Linked DNA regions of Rattus norvegicus. The protein of the gene in region 2 purifies or fractionates together with the protein of the main gene of each other region. This does not show direct contact. Links are inferred from orthologs where the notes say so. Each region holds a gene or a part of one and is shown on either strand. Other genes may lie near its edges.

Evidence for each region.
Region 1: the proteins of Ruvbl2 (region 2) and Mrgbp purify together in Homo sapiens (co-immunoprecipitation; 5 studies listed by BioGRID and IntAct, counting the BioPlex papers as one, with this or other methods). This does not show direct contact. The link is inferred for Rattus norvegicus from reciprocal best matches to the Homo sapiens genes RUVBL2 and MRGBP.
Region 3: the proteins of Ruvbl2 (region 2) and Actl6a purify together in Homo sapiens (affinity purification with mass spectrometry; 11 studies listed by BioGRID and IntAct, with this or other methods). This does not show direct contact. The link is inferred for Rattus norvegicus from reciprocal best matches to the Homo sapiens genes RUVBL2 and ACTL6A.
Region 4: the proteins of Ruvbl2 (region 2) and Wdcp purify together in Homo sapiens (affinity purification with mass spectrometry; 6 studies listed by BioGRID and IntAct, counting the BioPlex papers as one, with this or other methods). This does not show direct contact. The link is inferred for Rattus norvegicus from reciprocal best matches to the Homo sapiens genes RUVBL2 and WDCP.
Region 5: the proteins of Ruvbl2 (region 2) and Eapp purify together in Homo sapiens (affinity purification with mass spectrometry; 3 studies listed by BioGRID and IntAct, with this or other methods). This does not show direct contact. The link is inferred for Rattus norvegicus from reciprocal best matches to the Homo sapiens genes RUVBL2 and EAPP.
Region 6: the proteins of Ruvbl2 (region 2) and Znhit2 purify together in Homo sapiens (affinity purification with mass spectrometry; 5 studies listed by BioGRID and IntAct, counting the BioPlex papers as one, with this or other methods). This does not show direct contact. The link is inferred for Rattus norvegicus from reciprocal best matches to the Homo sapiens genes RUVBL2 and ZNHIT2.
Region 7: the proteins of Ruvbl2 (region 2) and Nopchap1 purify together in Homo sapiens (affinity purification with mass spectrometry; 4 studies listed by BioGRID and IntAct, with this or other methods). This does not show direct contact. The link is inferred for Rattus norvegicus from reciprocal best matches to the Homo sapiens genes RUVBL2 and NOPCHAP1.

The regions. Positions count from the first base shown.
Region 1 is NC_086021.1:188,073,055-188,077,708, reverse strand, and holds the start of Mrgbp (MRG/MORF4L-binding protein), read right to left. Parts: upstream 2,955-4,654; 5' UTR 2,929-2,954; coding exon 2,781-2,928; intron 2,364-2,780; coding exon 2,242-2,363; intron 1,398-2,241; coding exon 1,316-1,397; coding exon of another isoform or gene 1,007-1,315; coding exon 932-1,006; coding exon of another isoform or gene 711-931; exon of another isoform or gene 548-710; coding exon 360-547; 3' UTR 1-359.
Region 2 is NC_086019.1:105,041,661-105,045,590, forward strand, and holds part of Ruvbl2 (ruvB-like 2), read right to left. Parts: intron 3,870-3,930; coding exon 3,803-3,869; intron 274-3,802; coding exon 167-273; intron 91-166; coding exon 1-90. UniProt on the Homo sapiens protein: Possesses single-stranded DNA-stimulated ATPase and ATP-dependent DNA helicase (5' to 3') activity; hexamerization is thought to be critical for ATP hydrolysis and adjacent subunits in the ring-like structure contribute to the ATPase activity.
Region 3 is NC_086020.1:117,430,567-117,434,260, forward strand, and holds part of Actl6a (actin-like protein 6A), read left to right. Parts: intron 1-182; coding exon 183-244; intron 245-464; coding exon 465-579; intron 580-707; coding exon 708-788; intron 789-3,030; coding exon 3,031-3,126; intron 3,127-3,694.
Region 4 is NC_086024.1:33,576,522-33,580,451, reverse strand, and holds part of Wdcp (WD repeat and coiled-coil-containing protein), read right to left. Parts: intron 3,874-3,930; 5' UTR 3,855-3,873; coding exon 2,034-3,854; intron 1-2,033.
Region 5 is NC_086024.1:77,915,129-77,919,058, forward strand, and holds part of Eapp (E2F-associated phosphoprotein), read right to left. Parts: intron 1,970-3,930; coding exon 1,858-1,969; intron 1,851-1,857; exon of another isoform or gene 1-1,850. UniProt on the Homo sapiens protein: May play an important role in the fine-tuning of both major E2F1 activities, the regulation of the cell-cycle and the induction of apoptosis. Promotes S-phase entry, and inhibits p14(ARP) expression.
Region 6 is NC_086019.1:212,781,766-212,785,399, reverse strand, and holds Znhit2 (zinc finger HIT domain-containing protein 2), read right to left. Parts: upstream 1,817-3,634; 5' UTR 1,787-1,816; coding exon 584-1,786; 3' UTR 535-583; downstream 1-534. Other genes in the region: delta(14)-sterol reductase TM7SF2, read left to right, coding at 1-60. UniProt on the Homo sapiens protein: May act as a bridging factor mediating the interaction between the R2TP/Prefoldin-like (R2TP/PFDL) complex and U5 small nuclear ribonucleoprotein (U5 snRNP).
Region 7 is NC_086025.1:22,244,022-22,248,558, forward strand, and holds the start of Nopchap1 (NOP protein chaperone 1), read right to left. Parts: upstream 3,130-4,537; 5' UTR 3,116-3,129; coding exon 3,001-3,115; intron 1,750-3,000; coding exon 1,663-1,749; intron 1-1,662. UniProt on the Homo sapiens protein: Client-loading PAQosome/R2TP complex cofactor that selects NOP58 to promote box C/D small nucleolar ribonucleoprotein (snoRNP) assembly. Acts as a bridge between NOP58 and the R2TP complex via RUVBL1:RUVBL2.

The DNA.
Region 1 (4,654 bases), on a different chromosome or scaffold from region 2:
CTTACAGGAAAAGCAGATGCAAAGACTGGGCACCCAGGGAGGATGCCTGGCTCCTGAGGACAGTGAGGGTGACGTCTTATTGCTTGCTGACTCTTGGTCCTCTGGCCCACGCACCTGCTCTTCTCCACACACTGTGGGCATAAGGGAACTGACCAGGAGAAAGCAAGAGGCTGGCTCAGAGGCTTCACCATCCAGCAGAGTGGACACCGGTCTTGCTGGCCTTTTGGACCAATCAAGTGCTCTGGAGGTCTGATGACACAGCGGAAGCCCCACTAGCATCTCTGCTGGATGGCCACATTCACCCAGGGACCTGAGGACAGGCAGCTGGAGCATCTCTTGGCCACCTGGGGCTGAGGTGTCTATGTGCGGCGCCTCTTGGCAGCACTGGGGCTGGAGGGATTGCTGTTGGCAGTCAGGACCTTGTCAGTGACCCGGCTGCGCTTCCGCTTGTCTGCCCCTTCTTTGCACCCCAAGTCTGAGGAGTTCTTCTCTTTGTCTTTGCTGGATTTTTCTAATGCTTTCCCCAAGCTCCCTGAAGATGAAAAAACTGGGAAACAAAATCATTTGGCTGAAAACAGAATATCCAGAAACTCATCTCATTTTCCTCTTCAGCTAGAGAAACCAGGCGTTCGGACCCAGTATGTTCCCCGGGTAAGTGCCCTGTACAGCTGGGCTCGAAGAGAAACCGAGTCTCTCAGGGGGTCTCCTGTCTAAGCCCACCCAATGCCCCCAGCCTTGGCCTCGGCCCCTTCCTCATGGCTCTCAGAGGCCCCCAGCCTTGGCCTCGGCCCCTTCCTCATGGCTCTCAGAGGCCCTCCCACACTGAGTTCATCTGAAAGGGATGCTTCGCTCCTGACTCTCAGCTTCCTGACCTCACTCTGCCTGAGGCTGGCCCGTGGTGGTGACGGCTCCAGAAGGCACTTCCACTCACCGTCATCAGCCCCACTGTGGGGGTCCACATCCTCCTTCATCTCCTCCTTCATTTCTTCTTCAATGACCACTTTTCCTGTGGAGGAGACAGCTGCCGTTCACTGGAAACCCACGGTGGTGGCCAGCGCTGGGGGACGGTCTGGCCAGGACTGCTTCCGACTCTCGCTGCCCACACAGGCCTCGGCGTCCATCGTAAGACGGCATCCATCAGGAGACTGCCTTTGAGCACCGCTCGCCCCAGCCCTCGGCTCCCCAAACCTCCCAGGCGCCACTGGAGGCGTGGTCTGAGCAGGGTCCTTACACCTCCCTGGAGGCCCCAGACCTCCCCACCTTTGGCCTGGTGAGGCTTTTTTTATTCCCAGCCCTGGTGGTGGCTGAGTCTCACCTTCTCGGACTTCCTGAATGATCTCATCGGGAAGGACAAAGTTCCTCTCTGGATTTGGGAATGGCAGAATCTCAGACTCGTGCTGCCGGCACAAAGCGTTTTGTATTTTCAAGAAACAGAAAACAGGGTCTCCGCTCACTAAGCTGTACGGAGGAGCAGGCTGGAGGCTGCGAGCTGGTGGGGCTCCTTGCTCCAGCTTGCAGAGTCCACCTCAGCTGGGCTTCTCAGATGACTAGGGAGGGCCAGGCTAGCACCAGCCAAACCAAACCAGAGGAGAGGACCAGGTTCATGCCACCGAGAGAGCCCTGGAGTCATAGCAGCTCCCCTGATGTGCTCACAAGGACCTGACCTGTTCACCATTGTAACACTCCCACCAGGACAATGTATCCAGGGGCGCCATGACCAACCACAGGCCCCTACAGCCCCACCCATCCTGGTTACGTAGTCTCACTGCCTGCCAGACACTGCAGACAAACCTGACTAGCAAGGTTACTAGTTACCTACACACGAGTCAGACACTGCCAGCTCTCCAAACCAGTTACCTAGCTACCCTCTCTGCTCTCAGAAGAGGAACAGTCTAGCTCCCACAGTATACAGATTCTCAAAGGACCCCAATACCGACACTGCACCCTATTACTGCCTTTTACGGTGGCTGAGGCTTCTCTATCATCTCAGCGCCCAACTATCTCCTTGACACTTTGTGCCACCAATCTAAAGTAGGTGTCCTGAGAAAGTGGTTAGTGAATCCCTAGTTTGTGCTTTTCAAGGCAGGATTGAGGAAGGAGCCTCATCTTTTGAGATCTTTGCATACCAAACCCCAAGTGAGAAGAGGGCTCTGTCCTGTACCACAGAGGACTCTGGGAAGGCAGCATCCGGGACTTGACTCCACCTTCAGCCCCCAAATGAGTGGGCCAGGGTCCACTCACCAGTGCCTGCATGTCGTACATAGTGCTCAAATGGTCCCAGATCACCTTGGATGGAACCTGGCGCCCAATATTCTGGCTGAACTTGTCTCGGATACAAATCATGTGGAAGTGTCGATTCACCCCTGAGAGGCAGGACAGTGGGTTGAGGGTTAGGATAGCACCTCTGTGCAGAGGACATGGGTGTAGGAGGGGCAGGAGTGTGCAAACCACAGGTGCAAGTGTTGCAGGAGTCAAGTGTCAAAGGGGACGAAGGGTGCCACAAGGCAGGTGGTTAGGGTGTATAGTAGGCGGGTCCTGGGCAGAGGGGCTGCAGAGGCGGGGAGAATGGAGGCGTTCCCTGGGGTAGGACTGTCTCAAGGGCAGGGAAGTCAGGAGTGTCCCCTGGGAGAGGGCTTCTCGGGAAGGAAAGTCATGGTCTCTTGGACTAACAGGGCACCCCAGAGTGGGAGGTCCCGCCCGTGCGGGGTCGCAGGCTCCGCCAGCCCGCCCGACGGTTTATCCCGCCCCACCCCCACGCCGGTGCGCGGCGCGGCGCTCACCGACAGGCTTGTGGCCCAGCATGGCGTGGAAGAGGCACACTTCCACTTCAGGGCTCCACACCACCGTCTCCTCAGCAGGGCTCGGGGCTGCCTCGCCTGGGCCCTTATCGCCTGGGGCGCCCGTGCCGCCTACCTCGGCCTCCCCCATGGCCGCCGGCGAGCGACGAGCGCCCGGCGCGAGAAAGGCTACTACAGGCTCCGCGCAGGCGCACTTGGTGTGGAGGGCGCGCACTCGCAGGGCTCGGGAACGCCGCGTGCCCGGGTCCGCGCAGGCGCAACGAAGGCTGGCTTCCGGTGCAGCAGCGACTCCTGGTGGTTGGCCCTTTTACTGCCTACGACTCTGTCCCGAGAGGAGCAGGAACAAACCTCATGCTTTAAAAATGCACCAGCTGGGCCTTCAGAGAGGGAGAGGCGAGCGGATCTCTCTGAGTTCTGAGTCAGCCAATTCGGCATAGCATGACACACACGGCCCAAAAAAAATCTGGGCTTCACCTGAGTAGATAACTTGGAAAAGACTCAGGCTGCACAGCTAGAAGTGTGTCTCCCTTTGCCAGTGATAAATTGTGCAGTATGTAAATTACACATCACGAAAACTGTTTAAGAAAAAATAGCTAAAAAACAACAAACAAACAAACAAAAAACCCAGGGGCTAGTGAGATGGTCCGTCCATAGAGATTCTTGTGCACAGACTTGGTAACTGGAGCTCCACCCCTGGATCCTAGAGGGGGCAGGAGAGAAGCAATTCTTAAGAGTTCTACTCTAGGGCTGGAGAGATGGCTTGGCAGAATGATAACTGCTCTTTCAGAGGTCCTGAGTTCAATTCCCCGCAACCACATGGTGGCTCACGACCATCTAGACCATCTATAATGGAATCTGATGCCCTCTTCTGGTGTGTCTGAAGATAGCTACAGTGTATTCATATAAATAAGTTTTTTTTTAAGTTGTATCTAACCTTTATATGTATACCATGGTATACTCACACTTTTGCACGCATGCGCGCGCGCGCGCGCACGCACGCGCACACACACACACACACACACACACACACACACCATAATTAAAGACTTTAAAACCCAACAACCACATTTAGTAGCCCTGGCCTGGGTGCAAATGACAGTTTCAGAATTAAGTGCTTCATTGGCATCAAAAGACAGAAACCTGGGCCCTGTTGGCCTTACCACCCCCATCTTGTCCCTACAGTGGAGGCTGTCAGAATTTCAGGCAGGTGTTAGTATCTCTACATGGGATTGGGTAGGGTCAAGTGCTAGGCACAGCAGCCTTAAGAACATGGTCCCTACTGGTCTGAGTCACCCCAGTCAGCTGTACCATGACCCCTACCCTGCCACCCATCCAAGCTTTTTTACTCACCTGACCCTCAGCCACGGGCAGGCATCAGAATCCCTTTCCTGACTGATGTCTCTCAGCTGTGTGACTAAGATGTCAAGAACCTTTGTAAGACCACGTTCTTCTCTGTGCTATGGGGCCACTGTAGCTCTGAACTCTGGGGTATTGATAAGAGCCATCTGCTGGCTACCGCAAGCTTTGAATCCAGTCCTGGCCCTCCACTTGCCCCTCACTCAGGCCTGCAACCAGATAATGCTCACAACAGGGGACTGTGGAGGGTTTCCCTTGTGTAACCCTCAGCCTCATCCATTCTAGCCAGTTCTCTCTGTTCTGTGTGACCTCTGTACACGGCAGTTTGCAAACATCTGTCCGTCATTTCAGAGATCTCTTGGGAACGTGTGGCTGGCAATCAGACTTGATCCCTATGGACAGGTTAGATGGTATAGGAGAGAAGAATGGCTTCATTCTTTCCACGAAGCCACAGCCCGTTTCTCTGCCAGGTAATAGGAAGTGTCTGAGCACGGAGGTCA
Region 2 (3,930 bases):
GAGCCCATGGCATCATAGTCTCGGGCACGTGTGAAAGAGCGGCCCAGCTTGGAAATCTTGCCAGTGGCCTTGTCGATGGTGATCACGTCCCTGAAGGAGCAACAGCAAAGAGTAAGAGGGTTCCACTCCCCTCACTGCCCAGCCTCTTTGTGGTCCCGTGGCTCACCCGGCCTGGACCTTGTCCTTGGTCAGGGACTCGATCATCTTGGTACCCAGATCGTAGATGGTCTCCATCTCCGTGGTCTTGAGAGTCAGTTTGCCCACCTTGGATCCCTGAGGGTGACACACCAGTAAATGTTCAGAGGACATCACCCCTTTGTGGCCATAGCTTCAAAATTGGTGTGGCCCAGGCAGCTCATGAAGGGGATGGCATTGGGAGGTGGTTACTCGGGTGCCAGCACTTAGGCTGCACCCTCCTAACGTGTGTGGGCTGCTGTGTCACCATAAGCCCACAAGACAGCTCTTCACATCCAAAGGAAAGGCATTTTGGTTTTGTTCTTTTCTAGAACCCTGGGCCCAGCACTGTACCTCCAAGGCACACCCCGCTCTCTCATGTCAATTCTAGGCAAGCTGGCCCTCTACCACTGACTGTGCATCCTCACAAAGCCTCACTTTATTACCCAGGGTGGTCCAGAGACTGCCTCACTCTGCCTCCTGAGTATCTGCGCCCCCGTAGAAAAATAACGTTTTTGTTAATTACAAAAATTAAAGCAGTAAATAAAAAGACAATTAAATTGGGCCGTCCAAATGGGTATAGCACTTGAAACCAATCCTAATGATTTTGGGACCCACACAGTAAAAGAACCCACTCCCATAATTTGTCCTCTGACCTCTATACACACTAAGCAAATGCAAAAACAAATGAAAATAACCTTTTATAAAACATTAATTAAATGCAAACAAAGCCCACACATCCCTCTCCCAATGTAAGCACTCTTGATATACTCAGGAACACTCCAGAAGTCAGTTTTCTGTTTCTGGATCCTCTCCCAAATGATTTTCTCCTCTCAGTCCCAGTAGGAGTCAGGGTAAAAGGAGGAATTAAAGGGCAGCTGGGGTTATCTGTACATATATATCTTTTTTTTTTTTCCTCTTTTTTTCGGAGCTGGGGACCGAACCCAGGGCCTTGCGCTTCCTAGGCAAGCGCTCTACCACTGAGCTAAATCCCCAACCCCACATATATATCTTAATATTTTTATTCTTTTTAACTTCAAGCACGTATGAGTGGCTGTATGTGGCTCTGTGCATGTGAGCACAGGTACCCACAAAAGGCAGAGGAAGGTACTGGAACCCTGGAAATATTGTTACAGGTGGCAGTGAGCCTGGGTCCTCTGAAGAGCAGCACAGGCTCTTAACCACTGAGCCTCTAAAGAAAAAATTCACACACGCGCACATCTTATAGACATTTCTTGGGAAAAGATTTACCCACAATATTCTTACCATATTTATAAAATCTGAAATTGAGTTACTAATAGATTGAACTAATTTAGAACTTTATTTTCAACTATTAAAGTCACTGGGCAGCTGCATGCCTAGGCTAAATCCAGTTCCATTAACAACAAAAAATAAACTGGTTGTGGTTGTAAATCCTATTATCTGAGCACTAAGAAGTGGGAGGTGGAGGACCACCAGCCAGTATGAGTGGCCTATTTTAAAAAAAGAAAAAAAAAAAAGATGATCTCAAAACACAAACAAATTGAGTACTGGTCCACACCTGTAATTCCAGAACTCAGGACACTGAAGGCAACCGGGCTGTGAGATTCAACTCAAACACAACAGGGTTAGGAAAGAGGGAGTGGGTAGCAGCTTGCCTATCACACACAAGACCCTGGGATCCTTCCTAGCACCACACAAACTGGGCAAGGCAAGGCCCTCAAGAGGTGGGGCACAGAAATTCAAAGCCATCCTTAGTTATACAACAAGGTCAAAGCCTGTCTAGACTACATGAGATGCTGTATCCTAAAAAAAAAAGAAAAAAAGAAAGGAAAAAAAAGGAAGGAAGGAAGGAAGGAAGGAAGGAAGGAAGGAAGGAAGGAAGGAAATCCTGGTGAGGACTAGAGATGGCTCAGCAGAGAAGAGCACTCACTGTGCAAGCATGAGGACCTAAATTTGGATGGCAGCACTGGTGTCCCATCATCACTATCACCACTACCACCACCAGGCACAGCCACATGCAGGCAGGCCTGTTAAGCCCAGCAGTTGGGGATGAAGAAAGGATCACTGGAAAGTCTGGCTGCCAGCCTAGCTCCAGGTTCAGAAAGAGACCCTGTCTCAAAGATATAAAACCCTGTGACAAAGCAGGAAACCCAACATCTAGTCTCTGCCCGTGTCAACCAGTTCCCATACAACATACACGTGCACACCAGGCTGGGTTTGGCGGCTCCCTCCTTTAATCCCAGCACTCAGGAGGCAGACCCTTCCTCAGACACCACATACAGGTGGGGTTTGGTTTTTGTTTTATACAAGACAAAGTTTCTTTGTGTAGTTTTGGCTGTCCTAGAATTTCCTTTGTAGACCAGGCTGTCCTCAAACTGGGAGATCTACCTGCCTCTGACTCCCAAGTGCTGGTCTTAAAAGGCGTGTCCCACCAAGCGCAGCTGCAACACAAAATTATTATTATTTTTTTTAAGATTTCTTTATTTTGGGGCTGGAGAGATGGCTCAGCAGTTAAGAGCACTGACTGCTCTTCCAGAAGTCCTGAGTTCAACTCCCAGCAACCACATGATGGCTCACAACCATCTGTAATGGAGATCTGATCCCCTTTTCTTGTGTGTGCATGAAGACAGTGACAGTGTACTCATATACATGAAATAAGTCTTTTAAAAAAAGATTTATTTATTTTAGGGGCTGGAGAGATGGCTCAGTGGTTAAGAGCACTGACTGCTATTCCAGAGGTCCTGAGTTCAAATCCCAGCAACCACATGGTGGCTCACAACCATCTGTAATGGGGTCAGATGCCCCTCTTCTGGTGTGTCTGAGGACAGTTACAGTGTACTCATATTAAATAAATAAATAAATCTTTAAAAAAAAAAAAAAAAAGAGCTTGGCTGTGGAGGGCTCACATGGCTCCTGCAGGCCCCAGATCCCACCCCAGCAACTCCTATAAGAGGCTCCCAGAGCCTCTAGTTTCAATGCATCAGCCTGGTGCAATCTCACCTCAGTTCTCAGAGATGAGATTTCAGACCAACTGTAAAACAGGATGAGACAAACCTACTAGGCTATCTATTCTATAAATAAAGAACATTTTTATTTACATACATGGGTACGTGCACAAATATAGGTCAAGGGCCACCTAGTGAGGGGTTAATTCTTTTCTTCCATCACTGGGCTCTGGGGCTGAACCTCAGACGAAACAAAACAACTGGGCAGCTTGCTTAACATACAGTGGGCCTTAGGTTTAACCCAGCACAGTAAAAAAGAAACAGAAACTCCCCATGACCAGGCAGAAAAAACCCCCAAGTACCTGACAGACATGACTGGCTGACACCGGAAGTGGGAAATTTGAGAGGCAGCTCACTCGGGAGGGCCTCAGAAGAGTTCTGGAAGAAGGGAGTTTGGATCCAGGTGTCCACGGTAACTCATCAGCCCATACACTTGTTTCCTCGCTTCTCATTTCATAAGAAAATCTCCATTAGCCCCGTGACACCCCCCACTGGTCCTGTGATACTTGACCAGTCACTGACACCCTCCATTGGTCCCGTGACGACCTCCACTGGCCCCACCTTTGCCTTTTGGCTGGAGGCGCCTTAGCCAGGAGCATGGGTGACATAGGTGTTGGGACAATGAAGCCTCAGAGACTCACCGTGCCTGTGGCTGGCCGATCAATCTGGATCTCCACCACCTCACCTTCAATGATCTCTGTCTCCTCCCTGGTGGGACAGACAGCACAGACTGGGTCAGACCAGCCCAGGACACCCTGGTTCTCTGACC
Region 3 (3,694 bases), on a different chromosome or scaffold from region 2:
AAGTTGTAAGTTCCCACATAACTGTAGAAGCAGCTGTGTTGGCACTCAGTCTTCAGTAGAGTTACACTCTTCCAATGACTCAGCATGAGAAAGTGGCCTGATGTCATTCTGTAGCCTGTCACGTACGGTGCATATTACAAAGGCAGATTTCAACCCGATGCTTACCTTCCCTCTGTCCACAGTGCGTCATCCAAGATTTTCAAGCTTCCGTCCTTCAAGTGTCAGACTCCACCTATGACGAACAGTATGTTTTTGTCTAACTGTGTACTTCAGAAATAAGGGCTTTTGTTTATTACATATTAAATGGTTGTAGAATGTGTTAGCATTCTGAATCCTATGTTAGTATATTCTGAATACTGCTCTTAGGTATTTGTAGTTCTCAGAGATTGGTGGGTCCTCATAAGTGGATTGTGATTTTGAACAGAGTCGTTTTGCCTTCTGTGAAATACTCTTTACATTTGTAGAGTGGCTGCACAGATGCCCACTGTTCACTATGAATTCCCTAATGGCTACAACTGCGATTTTGGTGCAGAGCGGCTGAAAATTCCTGAAGGATTATTTGACCCTTCCAACGTAAAGGTGTGAAGAAAGCTACTTTCAGAATTGGTGTGGCTTTTTCCGTGTAGAGAATGTATGGGATAAAAAGCCTAAATAAGACTAAATTTGCCAGTAGGGGATTTCCATATGAACAGCTGTTCTTGTTCTAGGGACTATCTGGGAACACAATGCTGGGAGTCAGTCACGTTGTCACAACAAGTGTTGGAATGTGTGACATTGACATCAGACCAGTAAGTGCCAACCTCTACTTGTTACTGTCTCTTATAGCAATGAAGTACTCCAAATTAGGTTTGCAACTTTGGCCAGTGGCTTTTTTTTTTTTAATTTATTTATTATAGATGAGTACACTGTAGCTGTCTTCAGACACACTAGAAGAGGGTACTGTACCCCATTACAGATGGTTGTGAGCCACCATGTGGTTGCTGGGAATAGAACTCAGGACCTTTGGAAGAGCAGTCAGTGCTCTTAACCACTGAGCCATCTCTCCAGCCCCTGGCCAGTGGCTTTAAGGGCTGTTTTTAACCATGTGGAAAGAGATGGACAAACTGATTTGCAGTGCTACTGACCAGTCAGCTCAGTCCAGAATTGCACTAACTCTTCTGTGAATGTGATTTGTGGCTGCTGGACTGCACACAGCAGACTCTTAGAACACTTTCCCCTCACTAAATTTCTTTGGTTATTGCTACTCCAGATTTCCTAAAATATAGTAAATCAAGATACATAGAAATTGGTGAATTTTTTTTGACTTTTTTTTTTAAAGATTTATTTATTTATTATATATAAGTACACTGTAGCTGTCTTCAGATACACTAGAAGAGGGCATCGGATCTCTTTTACAGATGGTTGTGAGCCACCATGTGGTTGCCGGGAATCGAACTCACGACCTCTGGAAGAGCAGTCAGGTGCTCTTAACCGCTGAGCCATCTCTCCAGCCCTTTTTTTGACTTTTACTTGTAGTTTTTAGAAAAGTATGGTCTAGGGGGCTGGAGAGATGGCTCAGCGGTTAAGAGCACCCGACTGCTCTTCCAGAGGTTATGAGTTCAATTCCCAGCAACCACATGGTGGCTCACAACCATCTGTAAAGAGATCCGATGCCCTCTTCTGGTGTATCTGAAGACAGCTACAGTGTGTACTTATATATAATAAATAAATAAAATCTTTACAAAAAAAAAAAAAGAAGAAAAGTATGGTCTAAGCGTGCAACTTCTGCATGGATTGTATGATTTTTGTATTTGTTCTGCTATGTCAAGTTTTAAATTGTTGATACTATATTGACTTGATTATATAATATACTCATCTATATTAATAATTTATTAAGCTATAGATTTATTTCAGAACCCACATACTATCTTGGTTTTCAAGTTAATTTGCTTAAAGTATGATGTGAGTAGATATGAGTGTATAAACGCCATACTTAGAAAAGGCTGTTGAGTGACTACAAAGTAATTTCTTCTGAGTGACTTAGCAACCTATACCACTTCCAGGACAGTGGAAGTAATAGTTTAGAATTTAAAAAATACGTACATACACACACACACACACACACACACACACACACACACACACACACACAAATTGTGTGTGTGTTTTGTGGGGTTGAGTGTCTTTGTACCTTCACATGGATTCCAGGGATCCAGCTCATGTCCAAATGTGCATAGTGAGCACTTGTAGCACTGAGCTAATTTTCTGCTCTAACTGTTGGTGGTTTTTGTGCACGGTCCCTTAAGGACACAGAATTAAATACATTTGCAAGAGTGGAACTTTCTATTGAGATCATTTTCTGTTTATTTAATGTTGTTAGCAGATGGGACCCAATTTTTGCATTTTTCTGTTTTAAAATTTAGATGATCTAGATATTTGGTGTAGGTTTTAAAACTAAGAACATAGCCAGTTAAAAAGGCAGGCTGACATTTACATTTTGATAAATATATGCAAAGTAGAAGTAAATACATTCCCTATGAGTATGCAGTTGTTTTTATTTGGGAGTTCAGTCTGTGTTCTAAAAGAGTTGCAACATTTCTACAAAAGAGAAAGCATTTTGGTCAGGCATGTTTCAAAAGAGTATCATTATCTGTCATGATCATAAAACAATTTTGTCTAATTTAAAATACCATGACTTTCAGATGAACAAAGACAAATACCATTATAAAATGTACCTCTAATATTAGCAGCTGTCTGCCAATAAGAATTATGAGCTTAAGAATAATTGTTTTACATCATTTGCTCTAAGATGGCTCAGTACATAAAGGAGGTTGCCACCAAAGCCTGACAACCTGAGTTTGATTTCCAGAATCCACATGCTGGAAAAAGAGTCACCTCCCAGCAGTGTCTTCTAATGTCCACGTGAACGGTGGCGTGCTTACACACACACATAGATCAATGAAGAACGGTGAGGTTGGTAGGTGGCTCCAGCACCTGACAGTACTCCACAGTCGTTGGAAACATCTGAAAATGGTTCTCTTTCTCTCCTAGGGTCTCTATGGCAGTGTGATCGTAGCAGGAGGAAACACCTTAATACAGAGTTTCACGGATAGGTTAAATAGAGAGCTTTCTCAGAAAACTCCGCCGGTAAGTTTTTCTGTTCTTTGTGTTATTTAGTTGTGTCTATTTGTCTTAGGCAGGGTTTTACTGCTGCGAACAGACACCATGACGAAGGCAACTCTTACAAGGAGAACATTTAATTGGGGCTGGCTTACACGTTCAGAGGTTCAGTCCATTATCATCACAGGAGCATAGCAGCATCCAGGAAGGCATGGTGCAGGTGGAGCTGAGAGTTCTACACCTTCATCTGAAGGCTCGTAGGAGAAGACTGGCTTCTAGCTAGGGTGAGGGTCTTAAAGCTCATACACACAGTGACACACCTACTCCAACAAGGCCACACCTACTAATAGTGCCACGCCCTGGGCCAAGCTTATACAAACCATCACACCATTCTTACCTAGTGGAATTTAATAGCTAATTGTGTGCATGTGTTACTGTGGCATTGTAGGCCAGGTTGCTTTACTCAGCATTCTGGCCCCTTCAGCCTGGGCACTGGGGATGCAGACATGAGCCACCTTGCTAAGCAGAAATAGGAATTTGGATGGCAGGCAGTATGAACCAAAAGTCACTTGTGCTCTGGCATTTTGATTGGGAA
Region 4 (3,930 bases), on a different chromosome or scaffold from region 2:
CATGTCCTTCTGTTGGTCTGTCCTCCCTTCCTCCTCTCTCTCCTTCTCTCTCTCTCTTTCTCTCTCTCTCTCCTTCCCTTCCTCCCTCCCTCCCTTCCTTCCTTTCTTCCTTGGGATTTCTTTTCTTTTCTTTTTTGAGAGAGGATTTCGCTATGTAGGCCTAACTGGCCTAGAACTCACTATGTAGACCAGACCAGCCTCTAACTCACAGATATCCTCCTGCCTCTGCCTCTCAAGTGCTGGAATTAAAGGAATCTGCCACTATGCCCAGCCTAGTTCATGTTCTTAACAGCCACCTCTCCAGCTCCTAATAACTTTTTAAACACAAGTAGAAAATGGAATTAAATGGGCGATTCTCCTCAAATGGTAGAGGTTGGTTTAGTGCACACAAGACTGAGTTGGTCCCCAGCACGGCATAAAACCAGGTCTTGGGGTGCACACCTATAACCACAGCACTTCAGGGTGAAGGCAGAAGGATAAGAAGCTCAGGGTCTTAGTCTGGGGAGATGGTTTAGGCAGAAGTGTACCTGCCACAAAAGCAGTAGAGTCAGAGTTAAATGGAAAAACAGAGAAGAAAAGCAGGGTAGGTGCTGGCCAGAGTGGAGACCAGTGACCTGGAACTCACTGGCCATTCAGTGAGAGCCAGGTTCAGTGAGAAACCTGGTCAAGCGGAAACCTTCCCTCCAGACACAATGTGCACACACACACACACACACACACACACGACTCCCATGAACACACACACATACACATTGAACAAGTTCAATGGCATCCTTGAGAGGCTAGCCTAAGCTACAAAAATAAACAAAAAATATTGTAGAAGTACACTCTTTGAATTTGCACTTCTCCTCTTGAAACCAATCCAACAAAAATAAATAAAGGCACTACATCAAGTGAATAAATACACTCTTTCAGCACCATCTGAGGTACCCAACTGAAAATGAGGCTGCGTAAATATGCATGCTCACCCTGAGGTACAGTGCACCCCATGACTCCACTGTGGCAAGCAGTGACAGCACACTACACACACACACACACACACACACACACACACACACACACACTTTACGTGTTACACAAGGATCTGTGTTAGAGTTTATGTGTATGGAGGCAAACGTGGGAGGAGCCACATGGCTGCTAGTTGAAAAGTGAACATGACAGAACAGAGCCAGACACAATGTGAAAAGAAGTGTCCATGATTAAAAAAAAAAAAAAATATGTGGAGAGGTGGCTCAGTGGTTAAGAGCACTGACTGCTCTTCCAGAGGTCCCGAGTTCAATTCCCAGCAACCACATGCTGGCTCACAACCATCTGTAATGGGATCTGGCGCCCTCTTCTGGTGTGTCTGAAGACAGCTACAGTGTATTCATATATAATAAATAAATAAACCTTTAAAAAAGTGTGATGTACTTACATCTGCACATATAAGGATGCATTCAAAACATATTTTATGTGTGCATTGGTGTTTTGCCTGCATGTATGTCTGTGTGTCTGTGTGAGAATATCAGATCTTGCAAATATAGACTGTTGTGAGCTGCCATGTGGGCGCTGGGAATTGAACCCCAGTCCTCTGAAAGAGCAGTCAGTCCTCTTAACAGCTGAGCCATCTCTCCTGCCTTAAAACATTTTAAGGCTTACAACCATCTGAAATGGGAATCTTCTGCTGTGTTAGTAGACAGCTACAGTGTACTCATATACATAAAATAAATAAATCTTTAAAAACATTTTAAATGATAACACACACACACAGTTTTTGAAATGAATAGACACAATTAACCCTATTTTCTCCCTAAATATAAGTCAACGGAGTGTAGTCATTGATTTCCACACCAAGGATATGATAAAATCTCGCTAAACCCTGGTGTGAGCACTTTTGGTAGGCTAATGCCCATCTAATTGTGCAAAGGAATTGTCAGACGCAGGTCACTGAGCTCCACTCAAAGCCCTCCCCGCCCTCCCCTGAGTGTTTCTGGCAGGACAGACAGGATGCAAGAGCTTCCTGCATAGTGAAAGTTCCTCAAAAGAGATGTTACCTGGTAAATGAGGTGAACATAGGGAGGGTCGTGAGAAGGTGGGTACGCGGGAGAGACTCGCTTCTCCTTGTGTAGAAAATCCTTGATTTCAAAAAGATACTGCTGCATTCCAACCAGGTGCCTAGACAGACTCCCCAGCTCTCTGGAAAGTGGGCAAGTTTCCTTTTGTAAGTTCTCCGTTGCAGGTGAATTCACTTCTGGGGTGCTGGTGTGATCTGGGGTCCTGCTGGGTCTAGGCAATGCTGTGCAAAGCCAGGAGGGCCTGTGACAGACTTCATGGACAATGGAATCACTGGACAGAGGGGACAAGGGACTTTTAATTTCTTGAATAAGGGCTTTTCCAGACCTCCCACTCTGAGTACTGGAGTTAGCTGTTAGCAAGAGTCCTTGGCTCAGGGGACTCACGCATGGGGAAAGGCTCTCGGTGAACTTTTCTTCTCTATCTGCTTTATTTAATAGAGCATTGATATCAGCATAAGCACCCTGACTTTCAGCAGATGTTCCAGAAGATTCTCTTCCCAGAGTTATTTCTCTAACTGTCAGATAAACAGTATACTGATCAGATTCTGAAGAAGGGAGAAAGGCTGTTTCTGTGGGCTTCTGTTTCCCTACAGTAATTAATAATAATCTGTCTGTCAAGAAACATACACCTTTTGGTCTTTCGTTACTCTCTAACTGAATTTGCTGAATATTTGGCATAGAAGATGGAGCGACAGAATAGATCAAAATTACGTTGCACGTATTGGAAGCCACAGCCACTAGCTGTGCTGTCAGGGTAAATGCTATTATGTCAGGAACCAGAATGCCTGGAATAGCGACCTTTTTTGTCATGGTCACTGCTTTCTTAAAGGTTACCAGGATCAAATGTGAAGAATCTTGGCCAGTTCCAGTCAAGTAGTCCTTTTTTCTTAAACAAATAAGAGACCTCTGCTCGGCTCCAGATCGGTTGAAATGTATGTGAGTCAGATCCAGAGGAACTGACAAGGGAGAAACTGCTGCTCCAGAATTCATTTCTGCAGCGGCTTCCTGCTCATCTACAGGGGGCGTTTCACTCACACCCACAGGATGAGGATGTACAGCACCATCTTCACCATTCGGGGGGCCGCCAAAGGCGTCGGATGCATTTAAGCTACAAAGCTTATGGAGTGGAAGTTCGGTGGCCACAGCGACCTGTGAGTTCCCCGTGGCTGTGATGGTGCGGATGCAACAGTGCACAGGAAACACTGGGCAGAAGGAGCAGCTATGAAGAGACTTCTGAGAACTGTCCCAAATGTAAGAATGGAGGCTGCTGTCTACTGCCACCACCAGCCTCTGGCCATCCAGGGTCCAACAAGCACAGTAAACGCGGCCCCTGGTGTTGATGTCCACTTTTACCCTGGGACCGCCATCTTGGTGGACGTTAGGGAAAATGGAGACATCCCGTGCAGTCAACACGGTCAGGACAGGGTCTTTTGGGTGCCACATGCAGCCCTGAGGAAGGATAGGGAGTGACTCTCTGATCTCAGAGGTCTGACACATCTGCCATTTGCTTGATCCTATAGTGCTGGGACACAGCTGCCAAACCGAGACAAGCTTTCTGTGCTGGACCGCAAGCAGAGAGGGCACGTGCACTGTGCTGACAGGGGCCCAGGAAACCCCGCAGACAGATTCAAAACTTCCAATGACTTGGGAGTCCCCGAACTTGGCCTCTCCGCTATGAAGCTGTAAATCAGTCAGGACTACCCGATTCCCGTCGGTCCACGCCAGGCCCTGGGTTGGATGTACTGCTTGATTCAGTGAGTTCAGTCCTGTCCTGGGCAGTTTTCCGTTTCCCAGCTCCATCCTTTCTGATAAAGGCTATCTGGAATGATTAAGGAGGAAAGTTACGAAGGGGCGTGGTGGCGGCGCATACCTTTAA
Region 5 (3,930 bases), on a different chromosome or scaffold from region 2:
TTGGTATCCGCCTAGCGTGTATAACTGCATACATTTCATGTCGCCTAGCATGTATAACAGCATACATTCCATATCGCCTAGCGTGTATAACAGCATACATTCCATATCGCCTAGCGTGTATAACAGCATACATTCCATATCTAGCACCACACACGAGTGCACAGGAAAGGTTATAACAAAGAATTACCACAAGCTTCCACCACACTCCTCCTAGGTTTGTAACAAAAGCAGAAGTGGGGGCTCAAGCCAGTACGTGCACATCAGTGTTGACAACACTATTCCTGACAGTCAAAAGGCAGACAGAACAAACTTCTCCTGGTGGACACACATACGATGACATTGTGCAGCCATAAGAAGAAGTACTGTGCTACAGTGTGGACAAACTCAGAAGCATTTTGTTCTTGGGCCTGCAAGGTGACACGAGTCGTTAACCCCAGTACTTGGGATTACAAAACAAGAGCAAAGAACCACTTGGGAGGCAGAGGTGGACGGATCTCTGCATATTCAAAGCCAGCCTGGTCAGCAGAGTTCTAGGATAGCTAAAAATAAAATTAACAATTTAGATACTAAAACCCTAAACTCAAAATGATTTAAAACTATAAAATAAACATAGTAGTGTACAGTCATAATTCCAGCACTTGGGAGGCTGAGGCAGAATAGCCCTGGGACTTCAAGGTCAGTCTAGGAGAAACCTTATCCCAACAAACAAACAAAAAAACTTTAAAAAAAAGTTTAGCGTATCTATTTGGAAAAAGTTAATTTTCAAAGACCAATAAAACCAACCAACCAACTACTGAAACTTTAGTTTTATAACAGTCCCTGCTTCCCAGGTGGCTGAGGTAGGAGGACTACAAATTCCAGGTCCACTGGGCTACAGAGTAATCAAACCTTGTTTTAAAAAGCAACATGAGGGTTAAGGATGCACCTCAGTGACATCGCTTGCCCAGCATACTCAAGAGCCTAAATTCAATCTTAGTACCAGAGAGTAGGGGCAAGAGGAAAGGCCAGGCATGATGGCACAGCACACACCTACAATCCCAGCACTTAGGTTGAGGCAGGGCTGCTGTAAGTTAGCCAAGGCAGCATACATAAGGAGAACATAACAAGACCCTGTCTCACAAGAACAATAAAAACGTTCTTTTATTTCTTAAATGAAGAAACTCTTAACAGTTTAGACTCATTAATAACGCAACAATTAATTGCTGTGGTGACACACCTGAAACTTCAGACAGCATTTGGAAAGTAGAGGCAAGAGTTTAAGGCCAGCCCCAAGAACATATTAAGGTTTGAAGCCAGTCTGGGTTACACGATAATCTTTTTAAAAACAAATAAAAATTCAGCCAGGTGGTGGTGGCGCACACCTTTGATCCCAGCACTAAAGAGGCAGAGGGAGTTCAAGGCCAGCCCGGTCTATAGAGCAAATTCCAGGACAGCCACGACTACATAGAGAGATCTTGTCTCAAAAACAGAGAGACAGATAAAAACTGTTTAACTAAAATTTGCTGGTTATTTTCATATAAAATATTCAAGGTTTTTTTTTTTAATTTTTAAAAAAGATTTATTTTATATGAGTACACTGTAGCTGTCTTCAGACACACCAGAAGAGGGCATTAGATCCCATTACAGATGGTTGTGAGCCACCATGTGGCTGCTGGGAATTGAACTCAGGACTTCTGGAAGAGCAGCCAGTGCTCTTAACCACTGAACTATCTCTCCAGCCCAAGTATTCAAGTTTCAATCCTCGAACTTTTTTGATGTATTTGTATGAAAACAAAGACACATACAGTCAAACAGGAAAGCAATGAAAAATAACTCTGGCTTTCTCTAAAGATTCTAAATATAGACTTAAATTCTTACCCCCTCCTCTTTGCATCTACCCAGGCCTGGTCTCTGCTATCTTTCTCGGGATCATAGAGCAGCTCATCGTTTGTTGGAATCCTGTGTTGTTTCTTCTTCTTCTTCTTGGTCACTTGTGTTAGTTAGAAAGGTTAAGAACATGGATCAGTATCATGTCTAAAGTTTACACTTCTTAATATCAAATGACTCTCCTGTTTCCCATACTATCTATTTATTCTATTATATTATGTTTTTAAAAGTTGCCTAAATGGGAGGGAGTTACCGGAAGGGGGTCAGTGAGCAGGATATAAAGTAAGTAAAAAATTAAACTAAAAATAAGAAAAGAAAAAGATGCCTAAAGCCTTTCTTTAGCAGTCTCAACACTTGGAAAGTTGAAGCGGGAGAACTGCCATGCCTGGGTTACGCAGTGCATTCCGGATACCCTGACAACAAAAGTAAAACCCTATCCCCAAAACAATGCATAAAATTAAATAAAGCTATTCTTCCAATAAGAGTCTTGTCCGGGGTTGGGGATTTAGCTCAGTGGTAGAGCGCTTGCCTAGCAAGCGCAAGGCCCTGGGTTCAGTCCCCAGCTCCGAAAAAAAAAAAAAAAAAGAAAAAAAAAGAAGAGTTGTCCAATTAAGACACTAAAACAGGGCTGGAGAGATGGCTCAGCGGTTAAGAGCACCCGACTGCTCTTCCAGAAGTCATGAGTTCAATTCCCAGCAACCACATGGTGGCTCACAACCATCTGTAAAGAGATCTGGTGCCCTCTTCTGGTGTATCTGAAGGCAGCTACAGTGTACTTATATATAATAAATGAATAAATCTTAAAAAAAAAAAAAAAGACACTAAAACAAAAGATAAAGGAGGCCAAAAAGCTAAGTTCAAATAATAAAAAACAAAACCCACTTAAAACCAACTGGGCATGCTGACACATGTCTACAATCCCAGTGCCTGAGATAGAGGAAGTTGAATCATGAGTTCAAGGTCATCCTTGGCTACATACAAAGTTTGAGACCAGCTTAGCTTGTATGAGACCCTGTCAAGAACAAAAGGGAGGGGGTTGGGGATTTAGCTCAGTGGTAGAGCGCTTGCCTAGGAAGCGCAAGGCCCTGGGTTCGGTCCCCAGCTCCAAAAAAAAAAGAACAAAAAAAAAAAAAAAAAAAAAAAAAAAGAACAAAAGGGAGGAAGGTGAGACTGCTCGAAAGTCTAACAATCTGAGTTCAGTCCCTGGGACTCACGTGGTGGCAGGAGAGAAATGACTCTCACAAGTTGTCTTCTACAGCCGTATGTGACTTGTAAAATGAGCTCTCATAAATACACACATATACAGAATAATTTTTGATTAAGAAAAAAAAAAACAATGCTAAGAATGTGATTTGGGTCTTGTGTAGGCAGAGCTGGCCTCAACTCGCTAGGTAGCCTAGGATAATTCTATGCTTCTGATACCCCAGCCTTCACCTCCCAAGTGCTTGAATTACAGGTGCATCCACACTGGGATCACATCTGGGGCTTTGTGTACACCATGCAAGCAATTCTGTAAACTGAGCTCCATCCTTAGTCCTATGAATTACTTTCCGCATAGAAGATCACCACAAGTTCTCAAACATAAATCATTACTAAACCAGACAATGGCAGCTCACATCTGTAATCCTAACATTTGCAAAGCAGAAGCATGAGAACTGCCATGAATGTGAGGCCAGATGTGCTGCACAGTAAGTTTCCAGTCAGACAGGGCTATACTCCAAGACCATCTCTCAAATAAATACTAAAATCAGAACAAAATAATATTTAAAAACCAATGGTAATTCTTTTAAGGTTTATTTTATATATATGAGTGTATGTTAAGTACACTGTATAAATGCCTAGTGCCTGCTGAAGCCAAAACAGGGACCCAGGTCCTCTGGAACTGGAGTTATATACGGATAGCTGTAGGGGCAAGGTGAGCTCTAGAAGTGGAGTTATATATGGATAGCTGTAGGGGCAAGGTGAGTTCTGGAACTGAACCAGGACCCTCTGCAACAATAGCAGGTGCCCTTATCCTCTGGGCACAACCTGTGGTTGTGACCCCTTCGGAGGTTGAAGGACACT
Region 6 (3,634 bases), about 110 Mb from region 2:
CGTGCCTGGCAGGAATACTGCAAGCGCGTGCCTTACCGAATCATACCGTATGTCTACTGAAGCAGAACCAGTTCTACTCGGCAGGGATGCTCAGCACGTTGAAAACAAGAACGTTGAAAGCAAGAGGGAGCCACTGCTCCCAGAAGGAAATTTTTCCCTGTTGAATAAATGTTTTCAACCTTTGCTGTTTTTCTTCTATCCTGGGGTCAGTGACTTGAGGCTTGGGGATGACTAGCTGACTAATGAAAGCTTAAAAGTGGTTTGTGGGTCCAAAAGCCTGAGTGAGACAATTGGTTACCCTCAGAAAGGGGCACTTCAGGCCTGGGGATGTAGTTCAGTTATAGAGTGCCTGTGTAGCACACAGGAAGCCTTTGCTATCCAGCACTGCATATCCGCAAGGTAGCTAACACCTGTAACCTCCCACTGTCGGGGTGGGAAGCAGATCAGAAGTTCAAGGTCATCTTCAACTATACAGTAACTTCAAAAGAAGCTTACGACAGGGCACCATCTATAAAGAAAGGCACTGCCAACATTTGGGCAGAGCAGACACATCTTTATTAATGTAATGACATGGATGCCCAGCTCAGCCAGGAAGCTCCTCAATGAGAATCCTTGGTGCAGGTGGTACTGGGCCTCCCCAAAGCCGTTCTAGCTCCCCAGTAAGGGTTGCCATCTCCTCAACTGTCACAGCATGGGCTCGGTGGGCTCTGGCACAGTCTAGAGCCAGGGGTGTGAGAGCAGCCTCGTTTTCATTGGTCCAAGCCAGCAGGAACTGGCACTTCTTCCGAGCCCGGTAAAGGCGATCTCGCTCTTCACCAACCACAGCCTGTTTCCGGGCTCGACCCAGGGTCTGAGCCAGGTGCCCCAATGCTATCAGCGTGTAGCCTTTCTGATTGATAGGACCCTCGCCCAGAAGGATTCGGGCAACTTCCTGCATAGCACCCCGTGTACCCAGGGGCCCAGGTGGGTGCTCGCCCGCTTCCAGAACGTGGGCTGCGGCCTGCAGGGCTTCCTCTGTAGAGTGAAAGACTTGCTGGGTTCCCAGGGCCCCAGAAACATCGAGCAGAGTAGCACAGAAGTCAGAGAGTAGCGCGTCGTCGTCCCCTCCATGATATAGGGCGAGAGTGTGAGCATAGGCGAACAGCACATTGGGCAGCTGGAAGCGCACCAGTGGCGAGGTAGGGCTGCGGCTCAGACTGGCCAGTGCTGGGATGCGGGCAGGCATTGCGGGCGGTCTGGCGACACTGGAGTCTTCAGCAAGTGGCTCCCCAGCGGCAGCGGCATCATCCACGGACTCCAACCCGGTCCTCGCAGGGAGTAGCTCCGGCTCCGCAAGATCTCTACTCGCGTCATCATCCAGCTCCTCCAGAAAACGTGGGCCGGTGCCGCGGCCCCACCACCAGGGCCGCCACGGAGGCAGGAGGCGTCCGGCTTCGCCACGGCTCAGTAGCCGCTCGAATGCCGCCTTCTCAGCCGGCGCTAAACGTTCCCAAAGTCCAGAAAGACCGCCCGGCCGCGTGCCGGGCCGGAGGCCTGTTTCCTCGGGCTCATCCTCGGCCTCGCGTTGTTCACGCAGCCGGCGTAATGCGCCCGCCAGACGACTGGGCGAAGCGTTTCGGCCGCGGAGCTCTCTTAGCACTTGGTCGCGGTAAAAGTCTTCGGCGCAGGCGCCGTGAGCCCGGTAGCAGCGGAGCGAGCAGTAGGGAGCGTTGCAGCGAGGGCAGGTGTAGCGCGCTGGTACCGCTTCCCCGGCCGGGCAGAAGCCGCAGAGCCCCGCGGGCTCCATGGAAACTGGTGCCGCTTGTCCTGTACCAGTTCCGCCACTTCCGGCGCTTCTTTGGTTATTTCCGCTTTTGTGTGCGTGGAGGGCGGGGGAAGCTTCCTTTCGGCACATTTCTGGGACTTCTCAGTAACTCTCCAGAGTAGCTCGTTGGGCAAGCGTAGAAGTCGCCCAAGCTCTTCCCAACACGTTGGCTCGCCGAATTCTGAAAAACTGTGTCGCTAATCCCAGTTTGTTCTTTGTGGTTGTACCAAATTGTGCAAAAATAAACTATCTTTTAAATAACAAAACCAAGCACCACCACCAAACAAAAAACACCAGGGTCTTAGCAGGGCGTAGCTGTTCTCACCTTTAATTCCAGCACCGGGTTGTCAAAGGTAGGCTGATTTCTGTGAGTTCATGTGCATCCCAGGATAGTCAGAGCTACATAGTGATGCCCTATCTTGGAAACAAACAAACAAGGCCAGCAAAATATTACTAACAACAACAGACAAAAATAAATGAATAGGGGGCTGGAGAGATAGCTTGGTGGTTAAGATACACTGACTGCGGGGTTGGGGATTTAGCTCAGTGGTAGAGCGCTTGCCTAGGAAGCGCAAAGCCCTGGGTTCGGTCCCCAGCTCCGAAACAAAGAACAAAAAAACAAACAAACAAACAAAAAAACACTGACTGCTCTTCCAGAGGTCCTGAGTTCAATTCCCACATGGTGAGCAAACCACATGGTGGCTCACAGCCATCTGTAATGGGATCTGATGCCCTCTTCTGGTGCGTCTGAAGACTACAGAGTACTCATATACATAAAATAAATTTAAAAAAATAAATAAACCAGGCATTTTTAACAAATCTGGAGCTCAAAATACATAACAGGCAAGCATATCAAATTAAGGCCAGCCTGGGCCTACCTGAGACCCTGTCTCAAATAACAAAAGCACAGCAAAGCAATACAAATAGGGAAAACATCCCTCCGACGGTATTGAAATTGTTTGCATTGTTAAATATTATGAGGCCTATTGAGAGGTAGGCCTTAGTGGATTATCTGGAGGGTATGCCTGTGACGGAAATACTGTATTAGTGTCCAGTCATACTGGAAAATGGACCAACACAAACCAGAAAGCTATCTGGCAAAGCCTGTAGAATCTGTACCTTCAATGACCACTTGTCACATTGTCAAATTTCTGTAGTTCAGATCAGCTCTCCTTTTCAGTCTCATTAATCACATCTCTTAGACGTCTGTAACCTTCTAAGGATTTCTTTGCTTTTTTTTTTTTTTTTTTTTTTTTGCTTCCTGAGACAAGGTCTGAAGCTCAGGCTGCCCTCAAACTACCTGTATAGCAGGGGATGCTTTTGAATTTATCTTCCTGCCTCCACCTCTCCAGTACTGGAATGACAGGAGGCACACACTAAGCTTTTTCTAGGGACATTCTTCTGAAAACAATGCCAATTCCCCACCCCAGTACAGCACCACACTTAACTATTTTTTTTTTTATTGGATATTTTTAAGTTTCAAATGTTATCCTCTTTTCCGGTATTTTAAGTTAAAAGTTCCTGTCTATCCCTGGCTGTTCTGGAACTCACTCTGTAGACCAGATTGTCCTCAAACTCAGAGGCCTCCCTGCCTGGGATTGAGTGCTGGGATTCAAGTCCACTACAGCCCAGCCATGGCTAATTTTCATTGTGTAGCTATGGTTTAACTATGTAGACCACTGATCTCAAACTCAGATCCATCTGTCTCCCCTGTGCTATTCCTGGCTCAATCTCTAGTTTTGTACTACTTTTTCTCTACAGAGTCTGAGTAGGTTATGAGTTTCTGCATTTTTGCCTTGAGTACTACTCAGGCATAGAGTGTTTATACCA
Region 7 (4,537 bases), on a different chromosome or scaffold from region 2:
CAAACAAAAATGAAAAGGGGAACAGGCTTGCTATGTAATTATAAATTCTCTATGTTCATACCTTGGGCTGGCTCCCGAGTCCTGCAGAGGACCATGCCTGTCCTCCCTTTGAAGCTTGGGTCACTAATGTTCCTCATCCTGAACAGGCCTATGTTTCTGCAGTCTTGCCTATCACAATCTGCCCTGTGGTGTAATCTGACGTGATGTCCTAGCCAAGCCAAGCCAAGCCAGTAATCAGTCAACTTGAGAGCTGAGGAGAATACCACTGAGAGGATGTTCACCTGGAACCTCCAATAAAGCAGCTGATTGCCACAGCTGTAAAGCAGCACCTTCAGGTTAGTCTAACACCGAGAGAGCAGAGCAGAGACCGGCAGCACATGGAGAAAATGAGCATTGGGATCCAGATACAACTTTTAGTTTCTAACTCTGGTTTCTCTTAAAGCAATCAGAGCTTTTGCTCTTAGGCAATTCAGAGTTCTAACTAATGCATTCAATCTCACCACCATGCTGGTACCAGCCAGAATCTGAGAGAACCTCAACTGAGGAAATGCCTCTGCAAGACCCGGCTGTAGGACATTTAATTAATTACTGATTGATGGGAAGGGAGGGCCTGGCCTATTGAGGGTGATGCCATCCCTGGGCTGGTGCTCTTGGGTTCTACAGGCAAGCAGGCTGAGCAAGCCAGTAAGCAGCACCCCCCATGGCCTCTGCATCAGCTCCTGCCGCCAGGTTCCTGCCCTGCTGAGTTCCTGTTCTGACTTCCTTCAGTAATACAGTGACGTGTAAGTGTAGGCCGAATAAACCACCCCCCACCCCAAATTTGCCTTGGTCTTTGGTGTTTTATCACAGCAAAACAAACCCTAACTAGGACAGAAATGGGTACTGCAGTCATGGGGTACTGCTGTGGCAGAGACCCGACTGTGCTTTTAAGATTGTAGAAGAACTTTGGGCTGGGCCATTCTGTAGAGAGCTTGGAGGAGAAGAATGTTGAGAGCAATGCAGATGGAGGTCTGGCTTGTGACATTTCAGAGGTCAGTTTGAGAGTCCTTTAATGCTTCCCAGAGTATTAAGAGTTATGGGTTCATGAAGCCACACAGCTCAAGTGGGTTCCAAGGATTTGAACCCTGGTCCTCATGTTTGCTCAACAAGCACCTGTTCTGAGCAATCTCCTGGAGTAAATACCTGCCAGGTGTGGTGGCACACACCTTTAACCCACTTCTTGGGAGGGGGAGGCAGAGTTCCAGGCCAGCCAGGGGTAAGAGACTTGTCAGAGGGGAGGAAAAAAACAGACTTGGCATGGCAGCACGTAACTCATTCTAGAATTGGGTGAGGTAGGAGAATCTGGAGTTCAGGGTCCTTCTCAGCTACACAGTGAAGCCTGAGGCCAACCTGGACTACATGAGACCCTGTCTCAAAAGGGGGAAAAAAAAAGATCTTAAGTAACTAGCTGGACCTTTTGAAGTTTCAAAAATACCTTTCATTCAGAAAAAAATTGAAGGGAGGTGATGAACATGAAAAATTCTATTCCTCAGAAAATGGTTTACACAATGTATTTGACTCTCTGGTTTAGTATGAGCCATGAAGACAGGCTATCCCATCACAAAATGGATTAACTAGCCTTAATCAGGGGAGTGTCCTCTAGAGTAGAAAGGAGGTACTTACAAGGGCTCCTTTGTACCCGAACTGTTTGAAGGGTAGAGGCCTTTCTGGAATGAGGCTTAGAGTTGATAAGCAGCTGGTCCCAGACACCTGAAACCACACACAATTAACGGCATAAAACAGCCCTGAGCCACAAGTGCAACTCAGAAATGATAGATTAACAGTGAGAGAGGGGCCATCAGCACAGCCCTTAGGACTACCTACAGTCTGGACCATTCCACACACTGACAGAGAAGGAGCAAACACCCCTGTCTATATATACATCCATCTCTCCTCTCTCTGGCCATCTCTCACCCACCTGTAGTACTCAAATACACACTGGATTCTATCTTCTGAGTTAACAAAAGAGGTTGGGGGGCTGGGCATGGTGGGGCACTCAAAAGGCAGACAAGTGATCTCTGGAGCTCTAGGGCAGCCAGGACTACACAATAGAACTGTCAAGCACTAATTGCCCTTGCAGAGGCCAGGGTTTGAGACCACGCACCCACGTGGGGACTCATACTGGACTGTAACTCCAGTTACAAAAGATCACTTTCTGACCTCGTAAGACACCAGGGATGCACAATCCACAACTTTAAACAACAGAATTAGCAAAACTTAGTCTTCAAGTTTAAAGTTAGAAATGCTTTAATTTCAGCACTCAGAGGCAGAGGCAGGCCAGCCTGGTCTAACAGAGCAAGTTTCAGAACCAGGACAACACAGATTGGTTTTTTTTGAGAATTGTTTTTTTGAAACAGGGTCTCACTACATTATACTTGTGGCTGTTCTAGAACGTCCTATGTGGACCAGACTGGTCTCGAACTCAAGAAATCCCACTGCCACTGCCTCCCAAGTGCTGGAATTAATGAGATGTGACACTAGCGGAAATGCTGAGTGGATTTCCCCGCACACAGGTCTCCCTCCGCCAAGGCCACACTAAGGAGTTTGTACCCAAATCAAAAAATAATAAAAATGGTATTGTCTGCTCTTTACCTTCCAAGCCGGTCCAGACCAGGTAGTCCTTGTAGAGTTCATGAAGAACCTCCCAGGTCCGGACTGGCCTAGTTGTACCCACCACGACTGGCCCGGTCATCCCTGACACCGGCAGAGTCCCCGCCCCCTTAGCGTCCGGGACTCCGCGGCATCCCCGACCCCCGCAGCGTCTCGGGCCTCCTGGTGTCCCCGGTCCTCGCAGAGACCCGACCCCTTGCAGTCTTGGGCGCCTTAGTGTCCCTGAACCCCGCGGCGTCCCTGGTCCCGGGAGCGTTCCCAACCTCCCGCAGCGTTCCAGGTCCTGCAGCGTCTTCGACCCCGCAGCGTCCCCGGTCCCGCCAGCCCACCCCGCTCTTCGCCGCCGCTCACCTCGCGAACCCTCGCTCCCCGCCGTCAGTAGCTCCCTGGACACCGTGATCCGCGAGCAGTCCACAGAAGACGAAGAAACCCCAGGACCACTCGCGTGCTCACCACGGAGCGCCATGCTTCTCAGGCACTGGGAGTGGAAAAGCCCGGATATAGAAAGGCACGGGGAAGGGGCGGGGTCAAGGCGGCAATTGACGGAAACTCGGAGGTGGGCGGTGACTTAGGAGGGTGGGGCGGTGCGTGGCGGGAGCTCCTGCCTGCAGCTGAAGCCTCCAGCCCACGGGGACCGGAAGCGGGGGCGGGCCCCAGGCGGGGGGCGGGGACACCACACTGCCTGGGCGGACCGCTAGGATTGCACGTGTCCGAGTCCAGCCAAAAGGTCTCCTTCCTTACTACTAGTAAGCGTCAGCCCAGCTAGGTTAAGCTAAGCAAACGCAAGCGTGAAGGTGATACGAGGCCTTTGTCGTTATTCTATTTTTGTTTTTGTTTGGGGAGGTTTCTGTGGCCCTGACTTTGTGGCAATCCTGCCATAATTTGTAACTTACAAACGCCAAATTATAGGTGGGAGCCACCACACCCAGCTTCTTTAAAAAAATTTTTTTTTGTTTAACCGGCTGGCCCAAGTTGGCCTCAAATTCACAATTTTGCCAGTTTCAGTTTCCTTGCACTTAAATCTACAGGCACCCGTTTACTATGCTTGCCTTAGTTTGTTGCTTGTTGAAGTCTCACCGAGTTATTCTTCTTGGCCTAGTACTCAAAAGTCCTCCTGGCTCTTTCTAGCCTCCTAAATAGCTTGAATTTAAGGTCTGGATGAGCAGACCGAGCTTAGTTCACTATTCAATGGTAAACACAAAACCCAGCAGTATCATAAATGCTGTTTATATTGCTATATATACAACAAGCCTTTGGAACATTGTCATGTCAAAATGAAAATTGTTCCTGGTGGTAGCTAAGTGGTGAAGTTGTGAAGGGAGCCCTAAGTTTGGTCTCCAGCATCAAAACAAACCCTTAATTTTTTTAAAAAGCTGAAATAAAACCATTGAATGATAAATCCCATTCCTCCTCTCTCCCTGGCCCTGGGACCCAGTGCTCATGGTTTTGCTGGGAACAAGGAAAAGAAACATTTGTAAGCACTACCATTTCATTTTCAGACTCCATTTAAATCATAAGGAGAAACAAAATTCAAGGCCCCACGCACTAGGGGAGCTGGGGACTTCCCTACAGCTGAAGAGCTTTTGTCTTAAGCAGGTGTCTGAGTTTAGACTTCTCGGGAACAACTTGTAAGGAGACAGCTGTCTTGAGTCCAGCCATCTCAAGAGTCCTCCATCTTGCTGAGAGGGTCAAACAGATTCGTGTACTCAGGCCTAGGAACGCACACCTATCCCAAATCTACATGTTTTCTTAATTGTCAGTTAACTGGTAAAGAATATAAAAAATGCTGTCACCTAGACCAAGGTAGTTAAGTTGTGAAAATATACATAACCAATTGCCTGTTGTGTGCTTGTTAATGACATACAGCTGACCTGCACCTTTGTCAGGC